Struthio camelus: one gene and its partner. The protein of the gene in region 2 interacts with the protein of the main gene of each other region in a biochemical or structural test. Links are inferred from orthologs where the notes say so. Each region holds a gene or a part of one and is shown on either strand. Other genes may lie near its edges. The genes, in order: ARIH1 and CCNE1.

Evidence for each region.
Region 1: of the proteins of CCNE1 (region 2) and ARIH1, one has a biochemical effect on the other in vitro, tested with the Homo sapiens proteins (3 studies listed by BioGRID). The link is inferred for Struthio camelus from reciprocal best matches to the Homo sapiens genes CCNE1 and ARIH1.

What each region holds. Positions count from the first base shown.
Region 1 is NC_090953.1:24,862,293-24,871,862, reverse strand, and holds the start of ARIH1 (E3 ubiquitin-protein ligase ARIH1), read left to right. Parts: upstream 1-5,547; 5' UTR 5,548-5,607; coding exon 5,608-5,982; intron 5,983-9,570. UniProt on the Homo sapiens protein: E3 ubiquitin-protein ligase, which catalyzes ubiquitination of target proteins together with ubiquitin-conjugating enzyme E2 UBE2L3.
Region 2 is NC_090951.1:14,456,308-14,466,008, forward strand, and holds the start of CCNE1 (G1/S-specific cyclin-E1), read right to left. Parts: upstream 3,713-9,701; 5' UTR 3,608-3,712; coding exon 3,594-3,607; intron 3,490-3,593; coding exon 3,399-3,489; intron 3,150-3,398; coding exon 3,081-3,149; intron 1-3,080. Other genes in the region: C10H19orf12 (protein C19orf12 homolog), read left to right, coding at 4,384-4,456, 5,540-5,622. UniProt on the Homo sapiens protein: Essential for the control of the cell cycle at the G1/S (start) transition.

The DNA of each region.
Region 1 (9,570 bases), on a different chromosome or scaffold from region 2:
GCGGTTTCGCTGAGCAGAGGGATGCTTGCATCTTGAACGCTAACAAAAGCCAGCAGAGTTGATCCTTGAAGCTTTAGCATGTGCATGTAGATGATCCTAAAAGAAAGAGAGCCCTAAATCCATGCCTGGTGTATTTTGATTAGCTGCATCCTTCACTAACAGCCCGGTCCGTATGGAACATCTGTGTTTTGGGGGGACTGGAGCAGGCCAGTGTATGGCAGTCTGCCCTATCAGTGCTTTCAGAGCCGCAAACGCATGTCCCGGCACTTTTCAGAACGCAGGCTGCAGGGGGATTACTTCTTATAGCTCTGCATTTTCCACCTTGTCCACTGCATGTCACGCTATATGCTGCCGTTGAGTGGCTTAGCAGATGCATGTGGTAAATGAATTTCTCAGCACAGATGGAGTTCAGCAGAAGGGACCTCTTCAGATGAGAGAGCACATGTAAGGGGAGCGAGGCCTAGGAGATGCAGTGCTAGCAGACAGGAGCATATCTCAGCTCTGGGCATGTTTGAGGAGTGGTACTTTAACAAGTATGAACTTAAAAATGGAGTTTAAGGCAACAAGTTTGAGGTGAGATGTGTTAATCAGTCTGCAGGATTTGGGTTCCTGACTGCAGAAATGATGCCGAGTTCAGCCCGGAGATATTTGCACTATTGGTATTATTTGCAAAGCTTTTTCCCTCTGGACTATGTGCAGCTTGCACAGCTTTTGGGTGGCTGAAAAAACTGCAGTGATCTGAGGGGCATCTCAACTCAGGCTTGCAGCTGAGGTAGTTAATGGGTGTGCTGGCAGCCGAATCAAACCCAAGGGAGGGCATCAGAAGCTGGGCACAGAGAAATCTCCTGGCTTTCTTTTTCCCAAGCTCCACATGTAGGGGAGCTCCACATTTATTGGGCGATAGAGAAGGGCTCTTTCCAGAGAGCCGTCTGCCCAACCCAGCTGGCCCAGGAGCGATGGAGCAGGAGGGAGGCCACAGTGCAAGTGGGTGAGATACGGGCTTTGCTCCAGGGCACTTCTGTGGCTTTTTGGTAGAGTCAAGGGGTGCTCAGGCTGGATGGGAGCTGGGAGTGCTTGTGTCGGTGCTGGATGGAGATCATTTTAAACATAGGGCCCTGCCGGGCGCTCGCAGGCAAGAGGGAGGCTGCTGTGACTTGTTGTGGAGGCTGAATACACGTGGCTGCTGTCCCTGCTGCCTCTTAATCATGTCTGTGGGTCTAAGCGATCAGCTGAACCGGAATCAATCAAGAGCCTGTGCACGTGTGCTGAAAAATTCCTCAGTCTAGAAATGAAGTGAGTGTGCAGACAGACCCTGCTCCCGTAAATCCCTTAAGCGTGTGCTTAACTTTACGGAGGAAGGTGATTACAATGCAATATTTTATTCTTGTCAGCTTCAGTGCTAACAGTTACTAGAATCACTTGTGCAATTAACCTTTTGCAAGAATAAAATGAAAAAGCACCAGGTGCCTATGGAGTTCTAAATCATTTTTCAGATTGGACAGAACAGCAGTTTTCAACTTTCTTCTGCAGCTGGAGTCCTAAAATTTCCAGAGGCAGTGCAGGTATCCTCGTAACACATTGAAGGCAGCAGCCCTGCTTTCCTCAGGTACTTTTCCCTGCGAGGCTGCGGGCACCTGGGGCTCCACAGGCTTCAGGGTGACAACCACTAGTTTGGAAACTTTATAAGGAAAGGAAAACCAAGAATAATTAGAGCAATGATTTTTTCCAAGGGGCATAGCTAAAATTTCATATCAAGGAATATTTTTGAGAAGTGTGGATTATTGTTTTAGCTGTGCTCTTTAAAAGCAAACTAGTCTTGTCATTAAGTAAGACTAACACTCGGAGTTCAGAGGGATAACCACGAGCAAAGTGGCGATAATATGTCTTGCAGGGGAGAAGTCAGCTCTTCTAGCGTAAAGATAAGGCTGGGACTGCAGGAGGAGAATCATATTTCTGTGCCTGTGGGATGGCATTCTTTGCTGCACAGAGAAGATCCCATCACTCCTTATAAACGTTTACTAACGGGATTATATGAGAAAGGGAAACAGTTGGGTTTGAAAGGTAGCAGTTGTCTAACATCTCCCCTGTGTTGGTTGAGGAGGAAGAGAACTAGAGCGCGCTTACTGCGGTTGTATCGGGGGCTGCCTTGACTGCTGGTTCTCGCAAAGGGACGGTGAAATTTTGTTAATGCCTGGAGATTTGTTGGCACATTGTGAGCCTGAACTCAACCTGGTTTCCTTGCTATATACATGACCAAGAGAGTATAAATGTATTTCTAAATGACTGTGCTTTGTGCTACTGAATGCGCTGTAGTGAGATTACCCTGCACATTGAGGTGGGAACGTGCTACGCCAGAAGGAGCTGCAGGCGTGGTTCTTCCCCCACGCTGTTCAGAAGGGCTGTGCACGGTGATCGTGTCCATTTGGTGTCTAATATCTCATCTCACAAGAGATGCAAAGCTAGTTATCCCACTGTGAGTGTCCAAGGGAGGCAGATACGTCAGAAGAGGTGTGGGGAGAGAAGACAGCCCTGAGAACGGTGAGCGTCTGGGATAGGGAATCCAGACACTGCTCTCCAGAGCCTGGAGGGAAGCTGTGCACCCTCATCACTGATCAGGGCTTGGGGGGCTCACACCAGCCTTCAGCTTACGTTACTGTAGCCAGTATCTGGGCCCTGAAGAGCTGCAGATAGTCCAAGGCGCACGAGAGGACCGTGCTTTGGGAAAGGCTGGACTCGTGGGCGCTGTGCAGCATCGGCAGGGGCCAGGAGAGGGCACCGGGGAGGCGTTCACAGGCCCCGGGCAGCCTGCCCCGCGCCAGGCGGTGTCAGGGGCCTGCTGCAGGTCTACCCCTGCCCAAATCCGCCACCCTCAGCGCTGCCCTTCTACCTAGGTGGCCCCAGGAGGAAAAAGCAGGTTAGCAAAGACAGAGGTAGTCTTGTCCCAGAGAGGAAAGTCATCTCCAGCAAAGGGTTGGACCCAGTTTTGTGGGTCAGCAAAAACATAGCCTATGGGAGCCAGCAAAGCTCTGATAAAACAAGAGCCTGATGTCCAGGCAAAACCTCTCTGCAAGATTTCTCAGCTCCCTGGAGTCCGGCAGACTCTGCGGCAGATACGTTGCCGTCCGCTGGCTCACGCCTGCTCTCCTCTTGGCCAGAACCCACGTCACGAGCTGGGCCTTCAGTGCAGAGCCCCTGGGGGTGACACCCACCGCTGGGACAGCGCGCCTCTCCGTGACCTCTCCTGCTCCAGGACACCCAGCTGTGCTGGGCAGCAGGCGATGGCCAGGCTGGGCAGCTTGTCTGGCACGGAGGCTCCAGGAGCAGGAGGGAGGCTCCAGCGCGGGCCCTGCAGCATCAGAGGAGGTACAGGCGCCGCGAGGAGGACGTGTGACAGCCAGCTGAGCCACAAACACTTGACATGTGAGATGGGACAAGCCTGGCAAACGTCCAGCTGGTAAGTTCAGAGCTGAACAAAGCCAGTGCTATTTATATTTATGTAGGGCAGGATGATTAATGCCCAGGCCTTTGCCATCCCCAAAAAGTAATTAGGAAACTGGCTTTATTTACCAGCTGGCTTGGCATGAGGCAATATATGTGGCTGGCCCACAGGCCTCCCCAGCTCAGCCTGAGCCTCCCAGCCCCTCTGGGACGGCACTCCTGACCCTGCTCCCGCTGCTGCTCCCAACCTTCTCGGGGCAGGCCAGAGCTTGGGGACAGCAGGCACCAGCTGCCCCGCTGCAAGCTGTATGTATGGAGACAGAGGCAGGGCCCCTTGCAAGGAGGGTCTCGGGCTGCAGGCGTTACCCCTCCTGCCTCCTAGGACCCACTGCGGTCAGAGCCGGTGGCTGCTGGGGCACACTGCCAAGCTCTCGTCTTTCCCTGGGGAAGAGGAGTGTTTGCAGGGGCTCGCATGACAACTGCTTGGGGAGGACACGGGGCAGTCGTGACTGCGGCAAATTCACTTGAAGCTGCTGTGATGCCAAGAAACACCCAGGACTGTTCTTCAGAGCTGCTTGTGTATCTCAAGATGCAGGCTGGTAGGCAGTGAGGTTTCTAGAGGCACCTACCCAGGAAGTCGGACACCTAATCTGCTTGGATCCACAAGGGCACCTACCTGTGTCACTCTGAACTTAAACCCCTGGCACAGCGGCCATCATTACGCTTTATAGACACCACCAGAAAATAAACACCCCTCTAGCTTTTTGGAGGTGCCTTCTAATTTTCTGCAAGTGCCGCTGCCTGTTTCACAAGGTCTTTGTTATTTGTGCTGCGTTAGTACTGAGGAAGCAGGAGCTGGGAGCAGGATCCCGCTGCGCAAACACAAAGCACCGCGGTGACTCCTGCCCAAAGAACTGATAAAACTCGCCCCACCTGCGCTGCATACCGTGAGGCTGAGTCTCCCTTGCCCTCCAGGCGCGAAGCCATTTTCATCCAGGCAAAGCAGGTGAAGCGCGTGTTACCACATCACAACAGCCCCACTTCACCCGGCTAGAAATGACTCTGCAGGGCACGAGGAAGCAGAGGTGGAGAAGGTGGCCCCGGAGCCCTCCCGGGGCTGTGCCGCCTGCTCACATCCCTCCACAGTGAATCACAGCAGAGGATGTGCTATCAGCTGGCTCCCCTCTGGGCCAGCCTGCAGCCGGTTACCAAGCCAACCGGAGTCCCCGGTGCCCCCCGCACGGCGGCAGGCAATAAGCCCAGCTAGCCTCGCCTGCACCTCAGCCAGGCCGAGCAGCGAGGAAAGCTCAACGGCGGGGAGCAGGCTGAGCGGCCCGGCAGGGACGGGCCCACCAGGACGCAGCGCTGGCCCTAGGCGCCCGGCTCAGCCCCAGCCGCTCGCGCAAGAGCCAGGCCTGCTTTTGCAGGGCCGCGAGGCCCGCTCTGCCCCCCTCCTAAACGCCGAATAAGCGACGACGCGGCCTCTTCGCACAGCGCTTACGCTGCGAGGAGCTTCCCCGGGGCTGCGCGGCCCAGCGAGGAGCGGGGGCCCAGCCCGACGGAGCCGCCGAGACCCGGCCGCGCTTATCCCCGCTGCCCCCAAGCTGAAGCAGGGAGGTGCCGCCCGGCGCGGCCGGGGTCACGCGAGGCCGCCTGTTCTGCAACCGGGGAAAGGCGGCCGGCCGGCCGGCGGCACACCGGGCGCCGGGGCGGGGGAGGGCCGCACGCAGCATGGCGCACACAATGCCCGCGCCATCCCCAACATGGCCGCTGCCCGCCTCCCCCCCCCACTCCGCGCCACACTCAAGATGGAGTCGGGTCGGGGGGGGGAGTGGCGCGCACTCCGGATGGCCCTCCCCGGCGTCGGCGCCTGAGGGGAGATGGCGGCGGCGGCGGCGCAGGCGCGGCACGTCACGCCGCGGCGCGTGACGCGCCGCGGCGTGACGTGCCGTGCGTGCGCGGCGCGCGGTGACGGAGCGGGTCCGCCGCGTCCCTTTGTTGGCTCGGCGGCGGCGGGCGCTGCGGGGCGGCGGGCAGCGAGCGGCCGCGCCGGGCCGGGCCGGGCCGGGCCGCGCCGGGGCAGCGCGGGGGCGGGCGGGCGGGCAGGCGCCGGCGGGGGGGCGGGAGCCGCCGCGCCGCCGCCGCCGCCACCACCACCACCGCCTCGCCATGGACTCGGACGAGGGCTACAACTACGAGTTCGACGAGGACGAGGAGTGCAGCGAGGACAGCGGCGCCGAGGAGGACGAGGAGGACGAGGAGGAGGACGAGCCCGACGACGACAACCTGGACCTGGGCGAGGTGGACCTGGTGGAGCCCGGGCTGCGCGTGGGCGGCGAGCGCGACGGGCTGCTGGGCGGCGAGACGGGCGGGCTGGGCCCCGGCGGCGGCGGCGGCGGCGGGCTGGGCGGCGGGCCGGGCCCCGGCGGCGGCGGCGGCGGCGGGCCCGAGCAGGAGGAGGACTACCGCTACGAGGTGCTGACGGCCGAGCAGATCCTGCAGCACATGGTGGAGTGCATCCGCGAGGTCAACGAGGTCATCCAGGTGCGGCACCGGGAACCGCGAAGCCGGCGGAGGGGAGGGGAGGGGAGGGGAGGGGGGCGGCCCGGTCGGGCCCGCGGCTCCGGGGCCCTTCGGCGGGGGGCGGCTCGGGGCTGCCCCGCTCCCCGGCCGCGGCGCCGCCGCCTGGCCCTCTCCTGCCTGCCTGCCTGCCCGCCGCCCTACAACCGCGGCGCCTCCCGACGGGGCCCGGCCGCGCCGCCGCTCTTTCCGGCGGCGACCCGCAGGGATGCAGAGATCCCCTCGGAAAGCGCAAACTTTCCTTGCCGTTTTTAAGCGGGCCGTTGTGAAAACGGAGCTGCCGAGCTGAGCGCAGGATAACGCTGCCTTCAAACGGCCCTGCTCCGGTCTTACGTGCTGGCCCTCCTGCTTTTGGGAAAACGTTCAAGCCAGCCCAGCCGTCTAACATCCCTTCCTGAATGTCTGTGGCTAGGTTTTGTCCCAGCTTGCCCGAAGTTTCTGAGGCCGTTCGCTGCTTCTACAGGTGACCCGCATGCATGGGTTTTCTTTTGTTCCAGTTTAGTCAGTATTAAGAGTCACAGCTAATAAGTGAAAGTGCTTCTGCTCTTCCAGTAGGCCCACAGAGGTAGCGTGGGGAGAGCTACAGATTGTAACATCTTGGGAGGACGCAATGCCCAGAAATCAGTTGTTTGCTAGTTGCGGGTACTCTTTTGCCTAAGATTGTGCGCTCTAGAGTGGTTGTATTCGCAGCTTTAAAATGTTGCTTCACATGCTTGATGCAAACAACTGCCTAAACGTTCATCTAGTAAATTAGTAAACAACACTTCAGAAGTCGAAATAAAATTAATAACCTTAATAATAGTACCATACACGTTAGGCTGAATAAAGGAGTCTAAACTAACTTTCTCATTACCAGAGAGCGCAGCTCAAGAGGGTCTCTTCGTTAAATACGGATATTTCTTTGTCGCTAGTCATTGAGCCTAATATAGCGGAGCAAATGGCAAGTAGACATGCAAATGGGAAGTTAGACATGCAAATGTTTCATAACCTAAAGTATTTACTCTTTGAAATAGTGGTTAAAATGGTAAGTATGCCTTTAATGACTGAGGCTGTGAAAATCGCATCCCTTACCGATTGTATCGAGCAGATTCTACCGTTTGTCTTATCTCTCTGTAAGCAAACTGGTAGAAATGTCCCTGCCATTGAGGAGTAGTGAATGTTCCTGCTTGTGGTTTTTTCCAGTCTTGGCCCACACGGTGAATTCGCCTACCTGTTCTTTGTGAAGTAATTTCGTAGCTGAGGTCCTGGTTTCTTGTCCACGTGTTTTTCTTCTCTTACACTGCCCTCGAGCCGTGCAACTTGTGCGCTTGAGAGCAGCAGAAACAGTGGACAAAGGCCAATAAAGGTAGAGGACTCTGCTCCCTTTCTTGTACCTGGGGTAACTGCAGAAGGCCTGACCCTGTGATGGGGATCCCGATTTCATTGGGATCCGCAGGAGAATTGCAGACTGCCTACGCACAACAGCCAGCAGTGGATGTTAGTTACACCTTAGTTATTAGCAGTAGATTTGCAGTTATTACTCCTAGTTTAAGAGAGAAGAGTACAGAAAACCAGTTTATGTTGAGAGTAGTAATGAATAAGCTCACGAGCTAAAATCAGCTTAAGTAGTAGAATATGTCAGAAGAAGGTAGAAAAACATTCAGTTGTCTTGAATTGCTTTTAAAGGCCAGCTTACTGCTATTAGTTTTCTAGTCTGTTCAGAGGTGAGTGAGCTTAATTCAGCTGATGCTTCAGTATTTGCTCATCCTCACTTCTGTTGCTTGTGGTGAAAGCTTCCAGGGCTCTGTACTGTTTATTTCCTGCTTTGGCGCCCAACCAGGATTGCTGCTGCCACTTTTCTGGTTCGCTAAACCTTTTCTGGAGTCGCATTGGCTCAGGATCCTGCTGCAGATCCTTGGTTGCAGGCCTGTGATTCACTTGTTCCAGCCTAGTCCTAAAGGGTTTTGGTCTCTGTGTATCGAAATTCAGATCTTGGTGTCAAATGATAATGGTTGCAGTCCCAGTTTATAGTGCTTGATAACTTAGTGAAGTTGCGATGCAGAAGTGCTCTATACCTGAAAAGGTTGGCTGCAAGTCTTCTGCCCTCTCTCTCATCAGCGAAGGCACCAATTTCTGATCTGAAATAAGTATAAATATGATTTTGTTTTTCAAGCTAATCATCTTTGCACTTGCAATGAAAGGAAAAGGTATCAGTAAACAACAGAACATCTGCGTGGAGATGAGACGTGGCTGATATAACTCCTGTACGTAGGGAGTTGGGCCTTAGTCTATATTAAAAGACTGTGTTTGAATAGCAGTTTATTAGCTGATAGCGTTAGCTGAAGAGAGCGAATTAAATTTACTTTCCCATCCTTTTAGTCGTTTCCAAATACCAACTGTGTATGCATGTATATGAAAAACCCCTTAAGACAGGGATTTAATCTGATGAAGATCTTGCTGAAATAGTAGCTATCTTGTGACAGATTTGTTGGCCGCTGCGTGTATAATTTGTGCTGGTAGAGTGTAATGTGCTCTTGAAGATGACTGCTTAGTACTGCTGCTTTTTGGTCACTCGGCCTTCTAAGACCACTAAACTTACAGTGAACTAAGGAGGTTTCAGGATGGCTCAAACGTTCAGAATATTTTGCGTTCAGTGTCTCTGCGGACTTGCCTGAGCGTAAGCAGGATTTCAGGTGCTTAATGATGATTTTGCAGACTAGTTAGCATTTATGCTGATAATCTGATTTGACTCTGCGCCACACAACAAGAATTCCCCTTCTCCCCCCCAAAAGCAAAAATAAGCCCCTTAACCTTGTGCTGATGACTGGCTGAGACTTTTAAACCCAACCTTAGATCAGAGTGTCCCTTCCATTATGTCACTCTAGTTTCGTGGCATAGAGATTTATTCGGCAGGTTATTTCGAATTTTAGCCGTCAAAGTGAACAGGCAGATCTCTTGCATGTTTTTCTTGGAGAATCACTTGCAGAACAGCTGTGAAAATGTAGACGTAGAGGTAGATGTCTGAGAGGTGGCATTAAACAAAAGATTTTCTTATTTGAAAGGTATTTTCCCACAGTACTTCACTGTACTCTTCCTCTCGGAGCTTCAGGAAGAAGGATTGTCCGAATAAGTTTTTACCTGCCCTCCCCCTTTATAGCAGATTACTATTTATATCTTTGCTCCAGATTTCTGAAAATAAACTTGAAAATGTTTAGAATAGCATGTTTATTCCTACTCTGAATAGAGCACCTGATGATCTGTGTCCCTGGACTTGCTCAGTTCAATTTTCTCCTTGCTTTGTTGCCAGTTTGTGTGATTGCAGTATTTCTGGATTGGGTTTGTTTCCCCTTTTTGGTCACCTTTTCTGGAGCGTCTGAGTGATATCATTGTGATGTCACTGACCATATTTGTTCTGTCTGGACTTTGTAACTGGTAAAGGTGCCGAAAACATCGGGATGCATGTCAGGTTGATATGGCAAAAATTGCTCAAGACCCATGTTTAAAACAAAAACACAGAAAGGGGAGTAGAGCAGAATTGTCTTTTTTTTTTTCCACCCTCCAGCAGGAAGCAGG
Region 2 (9,701 bases):
ACACCAGCGCATCGTGGCACAAGCTGAGAGCCACCAGAAGAAACTTCTGCAGATGCAGGAGCCCAGAGAGGCACGGGGAAGGAGGATTTTCAGCATGGAAACCTGAAGTCAAAGAAGCAGGAGGGGGAACAGGTCTATTCATCTCACTCTAAAAAGCAGCATCTCAGAACAGACAGACATCACACTACAGCCTTCATAGTTTACCGATCAGAAGTAATCCTAGCCATTTTTCACTCACAGGAGGCACTAGGTTGAAGTATAGGGCACTAGAACCCCTTTCTGATGACAAAGTAGGAAACAGAAGAGCAACTCACACAATTAGCTTGCTTCAGTTCTTTCTGAACAGCATAGGACCTTACGGTATTTTTAATCTCTAAAATAATTTGAATATTGTACTTCATCACATTAGGGTAAAGTCAGTCTCAACTTTGATACAGCTCACATTGTTCGTTTGCTTCAAAATTTTCCATTTTTTCGGATTAGGTCTTTCAAACATAACCTAGACTAGTTAAAGAATCTTTTCAGAGGATATTTTTTAAAACGCCTAGGTGGAACATTTTGAGAATTGTAAGTCTGTTCTGGAAAAGTGTCTCATGAGAAATTAACAACAATTATTTCCTGAAAGCTTTTTTTTAAATCTGAAAATGTGGATTAGTTGAAACTCAAAGTGGTACCACTTTGAGTTAAAATTCTCTGCTCTAGATTTGGAGGCCACGTACTTTGTATCAAGATTACATGGGTTACAATAATCTAGTTAGATGAATTTTGTTTTACATTGAGCCTTGGAAGCGTATCAGTCCACAGAAAGCAGCCAGAATTAATATGAGAATTACTAGCAGAATTACAGCAGTACCAGTTCTCCAAAATCAAATACAGAATTTATGCAATATTCCGCCGTCACAAACCTGATGATATAGCCACCCTTTCATCACATAAAGGGTAACGGCATCCTAATTAAGAACTCATGCCTTATGTTCAACAGAAACAAACTAATGAATTGAATATGAAGATGCTATAAAGTGGGATGCGACAATAGTCTTTTGCCTCGTGTATAAACTAGCATCAGTAAACAATTTATTTAATGTAGAAGTCACGTGGTATAGGCTGTACTGGATTTATAGCTACTTGCAGTTTAGAATTAGCATGCCACAACAGCATAACCATCTCACTGGCTATCATACAAGCTTGCTATACTGCTGCTGGAACCATAAACATATTCTCATTAGTGGCCCATGGCAATTTATATCAGAGAATAGCTTGTGTCACACCATAGACTGAAGAGCTGCTGCTGTGCAGCCAAATGTTAGCTTTTTTTAAACAGATCTGTAACAATCTGGCTACTTTGTTATGACAAAAAATCTTCTCCATGTACAGACTGATACACAGGTACCCATTTTATTTATGGTTTACCAAACTCAAGGGCCTAATTCCCACCAGTATCCTAAGCTTAACTTGAAAAATTCCTAAATCTGCATTTTGAAATGCCTACTGCCTAGATTATCTAAGTTTTAATACGCCCATCATTCACAAAGTCACATTTAATGGCTGCTAAGCTAGTAAGACAAAACAGGAATACAGAATTGGAAGTCTTTACCTACTTTCAGTGCTGAAGGTCACTGTATGTAAAACATATTTCAAGTTTCTTTCCATTATCTTTCTGAAGAAGGGCAAAATTGGGTCCATGGTAGGATTTTTTAAACAATACTTATTATTACGCAATAACTGCACACAAAAAGCCATTGCATAGCTCACACAGAATGAAACCTTTGGTGAAGAAGGGAACTGTGGTGAAGGACAGGCAGCTCTTCCTTGTCAGAAGTGAGAAATTAGTTTAATATGCACAAAAGAAAGACAGAAGGGAAAGAGATCCTCTCATTAAATGCTCACCATTTGAGCCCTGCTTAATATGTTGACTGATAACTAGCATACGCAGTTGCAACAAGCAGAGGCCATTCCAAACAATGATGCCCATCTGTTATGGTAGCACTTTAGACTTAGAACTTCCAGCTGCCACTTCTGGTTAGATGTGCCACATTATGCATAGCCTTGCGTACCAAATGAGCGCTGCCTGAACTCCCTGATCATGACTTTTGCAGTGTGAGTATCATCCCGCATGCGCATTAACTGGCTGAAGTCCTAGTGACAGAGCGTGCATGTGTACATGCAAGTGCGCAGTCTTTCTTCATGCCCTAAGACAGGGGATAAACCCATTTCAGAAAGTAGGCTAATCTTGCTGTTTTATTTAGAGCAGGCATCTCAATGTTTGAAAGCATCGTGCATGTCATGTCTGAAGACTATGAAGAGGACCCTAAGGTGACAGTTAGTTTTGACTTCCTACCTCAGATCATTCAGAGTATCCTATTTAGGAAACTGGTGATGGTCATCACCAGCCTCCCCTTACTGGCCCAATTTCCACAGCCTAAGTGGTTTTATAGAAGTTATCCCTTTTTGCTCTAGAGGGACCGAGCCTAACACTTCACCACGACATTAGCATCTAATATTATAAACTTCTAAGCTCTAATCAGTAACTCCTTGTTTTCTGGCAGTCTGACGACGATATTTTTGAGCAGGAATGGAGCAGAAGGTGAAAAGAATGAACGATCTTTCCCCTCTCCCAGCCTAAGTATAGACATGGACGCAAAAAGCTCCATCTCAAGAGATGATTCTGTTCATATGCTTAAGTGTCTCATGCTTTGGCCTGCAAGGTACACATGTAAGCACATCACTGTCCTCTTAGAGGTCTCTAGAGGAGTCAGTACAGGGTCTCCCCATGTAGAATTAAGTGCATATTAAGGCCTCTGTAAGTTGAACCCTTACAATCCCAGGAAAGTTGGAAATGCTGAAGTATTAACATTTTAGACCAATGCAGGCCTCCCTCATCTCTTGCAAAGACTCCAAAGCAAGCTGTATGAACTGAGCAGTTTTGTGCTTTTCATCATCCATGGCTGATAGCCCCCTCAACCACTGCTGTACAGCACGTGGCAGCTTTACCGTGTTCCCAAGAGTAACGAAGCGCTGTAAAATAATAGTAAAGTTACATGTGGTTATATGCTACCATGACCTGAGGTCAAAGCAGTTACCTGGTTTTCATACTGCTTTTTTCTGTTCATTTCCATTTGGGCAATTTCTTCATCCGGATCCTGCAAGAACTACAGAAAGGGAGAGATAATTTCAAATTACAGCGACGGAGCAGGGGGAAACGTGCCGCTCGCGACAGCGGCGGGCGTCGGGCCCACCGGGGCGGGCGGTGGGCAGACCACCGCCTGCCCACGGGCGGCGGGGGCCGCGCAGAGCGGGACGAGGGGCTGCAGGCCCGACCTCGGGGCAGCCACGGCGCAGAGACGGGCAGCGGGGCCGCAGCCGGCCCGAGCCATTTTGCCGGCTGGGTTCGCACTCACCGTGGCCACATCGGCTTTCCTCTTTCGGGCGCGCACGGCCCCCTCGGCGCCCCCTTCGCCCTTGGCGGGCGCCTTCTCCTCGCCGTGGTCACTGCCGAGAGAGGAGGAGAAATGGAGGCAGCGGCACCCCGGGGCGGGGGCCCCCGCGGAGGCCCGGGCCTAGGCGGCGGCGGCGCGGCCGCCCGCGGGACTCACCTCTCGCGGCGCATGGTGCCGGCCTGGGCCGGGGCGAGCTGCGGCCCTGCGCGGGCGAGGGCGGCCGCTGAGGGCGGGCGGGCGGAGCAGGCCGCCGCCGCCGCCACAAAGGGCCGCGGGCGCGCGGCGCGGGCAAGGGCCGGGCACCGCCGGCCGCAGCCCCGGCCCCGCCGCCCCCTGCCCTGCCCTGTCCCGCCCGCAGCGGCCCGCGCTGCCGACCCGCCGGCGCCTTCCCGGGCGAGAGGGCGGCGGGCGAGGGAGGGAGGGAGCGAGCGCTGCCCGCCCGGCGGCAGCGGCGGGGTGCAGGGCAGGGCGGGAGCGCGGGCTCCGCTGGGCGCCTCCTGCCTCACGGCGCGGCCGCTCCCGTCCCTGCGCACAGCGCGGCCCGCGCCGAGCGGGACATTTAAACGCGCGGCGCGGGGCCGCCTCCCCGCCCGCCCGCCGGGCCGCACACGTGGCCCCGCGCCCAGCGCCGGCCCGGCCGGGGCGGGGTCTGCGGGGGGGCGCGGCGCGGCGCGGCGCGGCGCGGCGGGGCGCCGGGGCCAAGCGGCGCAGGGCGCCGCAGGGCGCGGGCACCCGCGCGGCCGGGCCGGGTCGGGCCGGGCGGGCGGGGCGGGGCGGGGCCGCGCCGGGGGGAGGAGCCGGCGGGCCCGACGCGGAAGCGGCGGCGGGAGCTGCCCGCGGCGCGTCGACAGGCGGCGGCGAGGGCCCGGCGCGGTCAGCGAGGGGCGGGGCGGGGCGGGGCGGGGCAGCACCGCCGCCATGACGGTGCCCTCCTGCCCCGCCGGCCATGGCGCTGCGGCGGCTCTTCGGGCGGCCCCGCTCGGCCGTGGTCGGCGCGGTTCACGCAGCCGCGCTGCCAGGTAAGGTGCTCGCTTCCCCTCGCCGGCGCCGCCCCCGCCCCTCTGGGCCGCGCCTGAGCCGGGGGCGCGGCTGCCGCTCGTCGCCGGCGCGGGGCAGGCCCGGGCCGGGCCCCGGCGTGCGGGAGGGGGCGGCGGCCGCGGCCGCGGCCGGGCCCCAGGGAGCCGCGGAGCATGGCTGCGCGCCCGCAGCCGAGGTGTTGGCCGGGCTGGGCGCCTCGCTGCTGCGGGGAGGAGGTTTGGAGGCGGCGGGTGGGGTGGGGGGTGGCGGCAGCGAGCGCGGGGACGGAGTAGCGGCCGCCGGCAGCGCTGCGCCCCGCGGTTGGGGCGGCCGCAGCTGCAGCCGCGGGGCCGGGCCCGGAGCCGCCCTGCCCCGCGCCTTCCCCTTCCCCGAAGCAGCTTCCGAGCACCGCGGCCAGCTTGCACCGCGCCATGTCGGGTTAAGTCGGGCTAAAGACTGCCAGAGGAGCTGTTCCGAGTGCAGATCTCAGGCTCCAGGTACCTGGCTTTAGGAGCCCACGTGGTCAGAAAAGACTTCAGAATTATCTTGAGGAAAACTTTTGCTTTTTTCAAGCAAAACCCGTGCTGAGCGTTCTTTCCTGTCAGGAAGTTCTTACTTCAGGAGTAGCTGAAGATCAGACGCTACCAGCCTTGCAAGTTAGAGTTTTAATATAGTTCAAACAATCTTAAAGTCAGCTCGTGTTTCGTGCAGGTGTTCTGCAGAGCCAGTGGTCTGCCCTTGCCCTAGGTTATGTTGCATGAGCATCACTGATGAAGGATTAGCAGTAATAAGTACAGCAATGACAAGCTAAAGGCAGATTGGGTGCAATGAGAGATTATAGTGGATGTTCCTCAAGTTTGAGAACTTGGTTTTAGGAGCTGAACCGCGAGAGTGGATAGGTCAAGTTCAGTTAAGGAAAGAGATGCCGTTAAGGCATGCCACAAGGAGACACAGCAGCCTTTTAGCAAGTTTACCTGTTCCTGCCTATTTCACTATGCTAATCCCTGCAGTTATCTTAACTGAAAACTTACCCTGCCTGGTTTTGATTTCCCCTTGCACTGGGGTAAGCAGCATTGTTCTTGCAGGGACGCCGAGAAGTTCTCTTCCGTTGACCCAGATCGTTGATCAAGCTTGTCGAGAGGCAGAAACTTACAAGGATGCCGGAGTTGTAAGTATTGGCTTTCATTCTTCTTGTGGCAGTATTTACGCAAAGCTGCTTCTTTATAGCTAGCATTTAAAACGTTGAGTCCAAGTATACCTAGAACTTACTGAAAGCATCTTAAACACAGAGTTTAGGAAGAAGGTCAAAATACAAGATGTAGTTTTAATAGAGTAAGCCTTCTTAGCTTTTGAAACCTAAGCCATGTATTGAGTGCATGCAGAGCAATTGAAAAAGCTGCACAGTTCAAGTTACTGAAGTAGGATTGCTATCAATTTTTAAGAAACAAGTCAATTAAAAAAAAAAAAAGCAGATGGAAAGTTGACTACGACATTTAGTGTTGCCAGCATTTTAGGTATCTGGCTGTAGGAGGCTTCTTACAGTCTGACAAACCACTATATTTTTAGCTCTATGCAACACTTTTTGTGAACTCATGGAGGATTGGCATGTGCACAGGCATGGCTCAGTCACTTGTAGGCAATAGGATTCTCCCATGGTTGTATTTGTGCTGCTTAGACCCTTTTCTACCCATTTTAATCCTTCCATCATAGCCCTCTGGCAGAGAGCTTGCCTGTTTTGCATATCTAGAGGAGGCCCAAAAGGCGGCTCTCAGCCAGAGGCTAGAAAAGGCAGGTACTACTGCCTGAATTGCCATTGGACCTAAGGTGGTGTAGTAACCTTCGTAGGTCAGCAGTTTTTAAACAGAGTTTATGTCCCTTTGAAAGGTCAGGTATGTTTTAAAGTTCATTGCATCTTGCCTTCGTGCATTGGTGTGCTCTTTCTTTGACCTGCCTGCAGTATTGCTGGCGTGGTAGCGTGGTTTCGTAATGTCCGAGACTTAAAAATGGCTTAAATGGACAAGTAGTCAGTGCTCTGAGCTGCTCTTTTCTTCTAAACTTTAAGAACAACCCACTTGAAATCTTTTTTTTTTTAATGGCATAACTTTAAATTATACTTTACAATCAGAGCAAGATTGGATCTAAACTTAATCTGAATTACAGAAGGCCAAAGTCAAAATTCTTGACAAGTCACAAAGCAGGTTATGAACAGAGTAAGGCTTAATTAGGAAAGAGTCCTGAGAAGTAAATTGTTGAAAGGATAAACAGTGTGGAAGAATCATGTTTACGTAGGCAGGTTTCAGTGCCCGTGAGCCGGTCAGGCATGTGTCTACTCGGTTAGAATAATCTTCAACTGCAAGATCTGTGGAGTAAGTCAGTTTTCCTCCTTTCCGTACTTTCTGAAAGAAAATATGTACAGTAGTTCTGTGTAAAGTGAAGTAGTTCTGTACTATGACTGTATGTTTTGTCTTGGCAGTTGCAGGATCGGTGTGAGGTACAGGATGATTTGATCCACATCAGAAGAGTGGCGAGTAGTAGTTGGTCTGCCTTCCTGCATTAGAGGAAGTGCTTACATGAGTGACCTATAATTCTCTTAAAGTCATTGTCACACGTTCCATGCTTGTTTACCTGTTTTCCTTACATACTGATTATACATTGAAACCCTTAGCAGCAGAGCGAAAGCACGATGTAAAGCAATACATAAAGTTGAGGGAGGGTAGAGATGCAGTTACTTTCGTTGCTGAAATGCATAAAGCTGAAAGCGATTTAAGAGAAATGTTAAAATCGCTATTACCACAGAATTTTAGTTCCTATTTTACACCTTGTTGTCTTTTCAACAGTTGTAATAAAGCCTGCTGTTCTAACTGGTCTATCTCTTCTCCTCCTGTATTGCAATGACTGAGCTCTAGTAGATTTTAGAACTAGCTCCCAGGTAGACAGGTGCATGACAGTCATTTCTCTGCAGATTTAGAGAAATTCAGGACTTAGTATATTTCATTGTAGGGCTCTTGAGAGTGTCAGTAAATATTCCACAATAATCATTCTGAAGTTAAGTAGCTGAACTTATAGGTCCATACATAATAGTGTTACAGCTGTATAACAAAAAAAGTCTTTTATTAAGGCATAAAGGTCAGAGATAAGGAAGAGAGCTTCCATAGGTATCAGTATGGTTGCCTAACACTTTCTGGAATTCAGTTGTCTAGCTTTTCCTCAGTACTTGAGAGAGACATAGGTTTTCATGATGGATACTTCAAGAGATTCCTGGCTTTTGCATGTAGATCACCGCTCTTCCAAACTAGATTTTTTGCTTCCCAATGGGAATATGTTTGTTTCTCCCCTTCAGTACTGAAGAGTAAACTGCTAAATTATCTCTCTTTTTCTTGTGGAAAAAGACCTAGAAAGTTACAGCTTTTTTTTTTTCTTCTCTATGGATATATTCACTGACTGCAGTTCCAAATGCTGCTTACCGTAGTCTTTAAGATGTATAACCATCTTGTTACCACCAGGAGATGTTGGGATATTGTCTCGAGTTACTTGAATTAGTGTTAACATTCAAAAGTGAAGTATATGGTCTCACTCAACACGTATTGCGCCTGACAGTAAATTTTTATTCAGCAAAAAGTGACTTATCTGGCACGTTAGCAGTTTAACATAATAAATATGAGAGATCTGTGGTATTGGAACACAATAATGAAAACAAGTGAGTGTTCAGATAGGAAGTCATCTGGGCTGAAGACGTATTATGCTTTGTACTTGTGTTGCTGAACAATGAAATTCCCTAGACAAGACTTTATAAGCAGCAAATTATGAGACGTTATGCTCCCTCCCATTTGTATTTTCTTTTGTTTAAAAAAAAAAAAAGTAGTGATGCAAAAATAGAGTGCAAGTTACTTAACTTTTATTCACTCCACTCAGCCTGAGGGAAGCCTGCTTTGTAGCCAGAAAAAAGCAGAGTGGAAGTTTCTGTTCATTTCACTGATGTAACTCGCTTTACTAGTTACCATTATTATCTAGTTGCAGCTACCTGAATAGCTGACAGGAAAGACTGTTAAAGATGCACTTTTTCCAAAAGAATTATTTTTATTTGAGCTTTTAAAATGCAGTATTGTGTTGCAAGTATTATGTTGCTTGTCACCAAGCAAGATTTCAGGTTTGCTTCTTTTGCCAGTGTGGTCTCTGCAGATGCCTTTGTTGCTATTCTGAGCAACTTGATCCTTGTTTTATCTCTGTACTTGAAAGGATAGTTGCCAGTATCTGTTCTACATGAAGATTTTCAAAATAAGATTTTTCCAAGCCTGTGATTTTCTTAACTTCTGCGGTAGTTAGTGTTAAGATTAGTTAAGATTTAGTAACAGTTGGGATAAAGTAAACCAACATTTCTATCGTAGACACAAGGAGATAGTTATCATCTGACTTAATAGCGGTTAACTTTCCAAGTCTTGGCTATATTACAGTAGCAGATTTAAAAAAAAAAAAAAAAAAAAACCACACACACACACAAAACCACCTGTGGTATATAGAGAAGAACATAACGTGTCTGCTTAGCTAAGTTAAGATAGAGATCTCTTGCTCAGGTAGAGCTTTTAAAGGAATTGTAGATTTTGGAAGCTATACCTGGGCACAGAAAAATGCTTTACAAAGGTACCTGATCTCTTTTATATAGAGGCACATGACGGTGGTGGTGGTGGGAGGGTTGTAATCATCTCAGCACACACCTGCACCTGTTTACTAATTGGTATGAAACAAACAAAAACCTCTTCCTGGAAGAAAGAGCAGTTATTTTAAACTGACATAGGTTTTTATCAATATGTCTGTATTTGGAGGTGAGGCCTTCCTGTTAGGAGAAACACTGAGGTTAAAGTTATTGTAAGTAAGTTCTATTAGATAAGGAGCTGAGTTAGAACTTGTATGTTTGTTGTACGTGTTGTGCTTTATAGGATTATGACTATATTTTTCCTGAGGTTTTTCTGTGGTGATACGTGTGTGTGGCTGACGTGTTTTAAGAGGTCCTTTCTCTAAGTGAAATAAAGCTAAGGATATTGTTTCTCTATATAATCAAAGAGCTATTTAAAAGACCTACTGTCCACTAGCTAACTGTGATACAAGAGGCACTTTGCACATATGTAACACTTTAGATGTCATTCAAAGTAAAAGGGAAGTATACTATTTGAGAATTATTGAAAATAAGGCTGTTCTATTTATAAAACAACACATAAATCTCCTTAATGTTCAATGGAAAAGAAACACAAA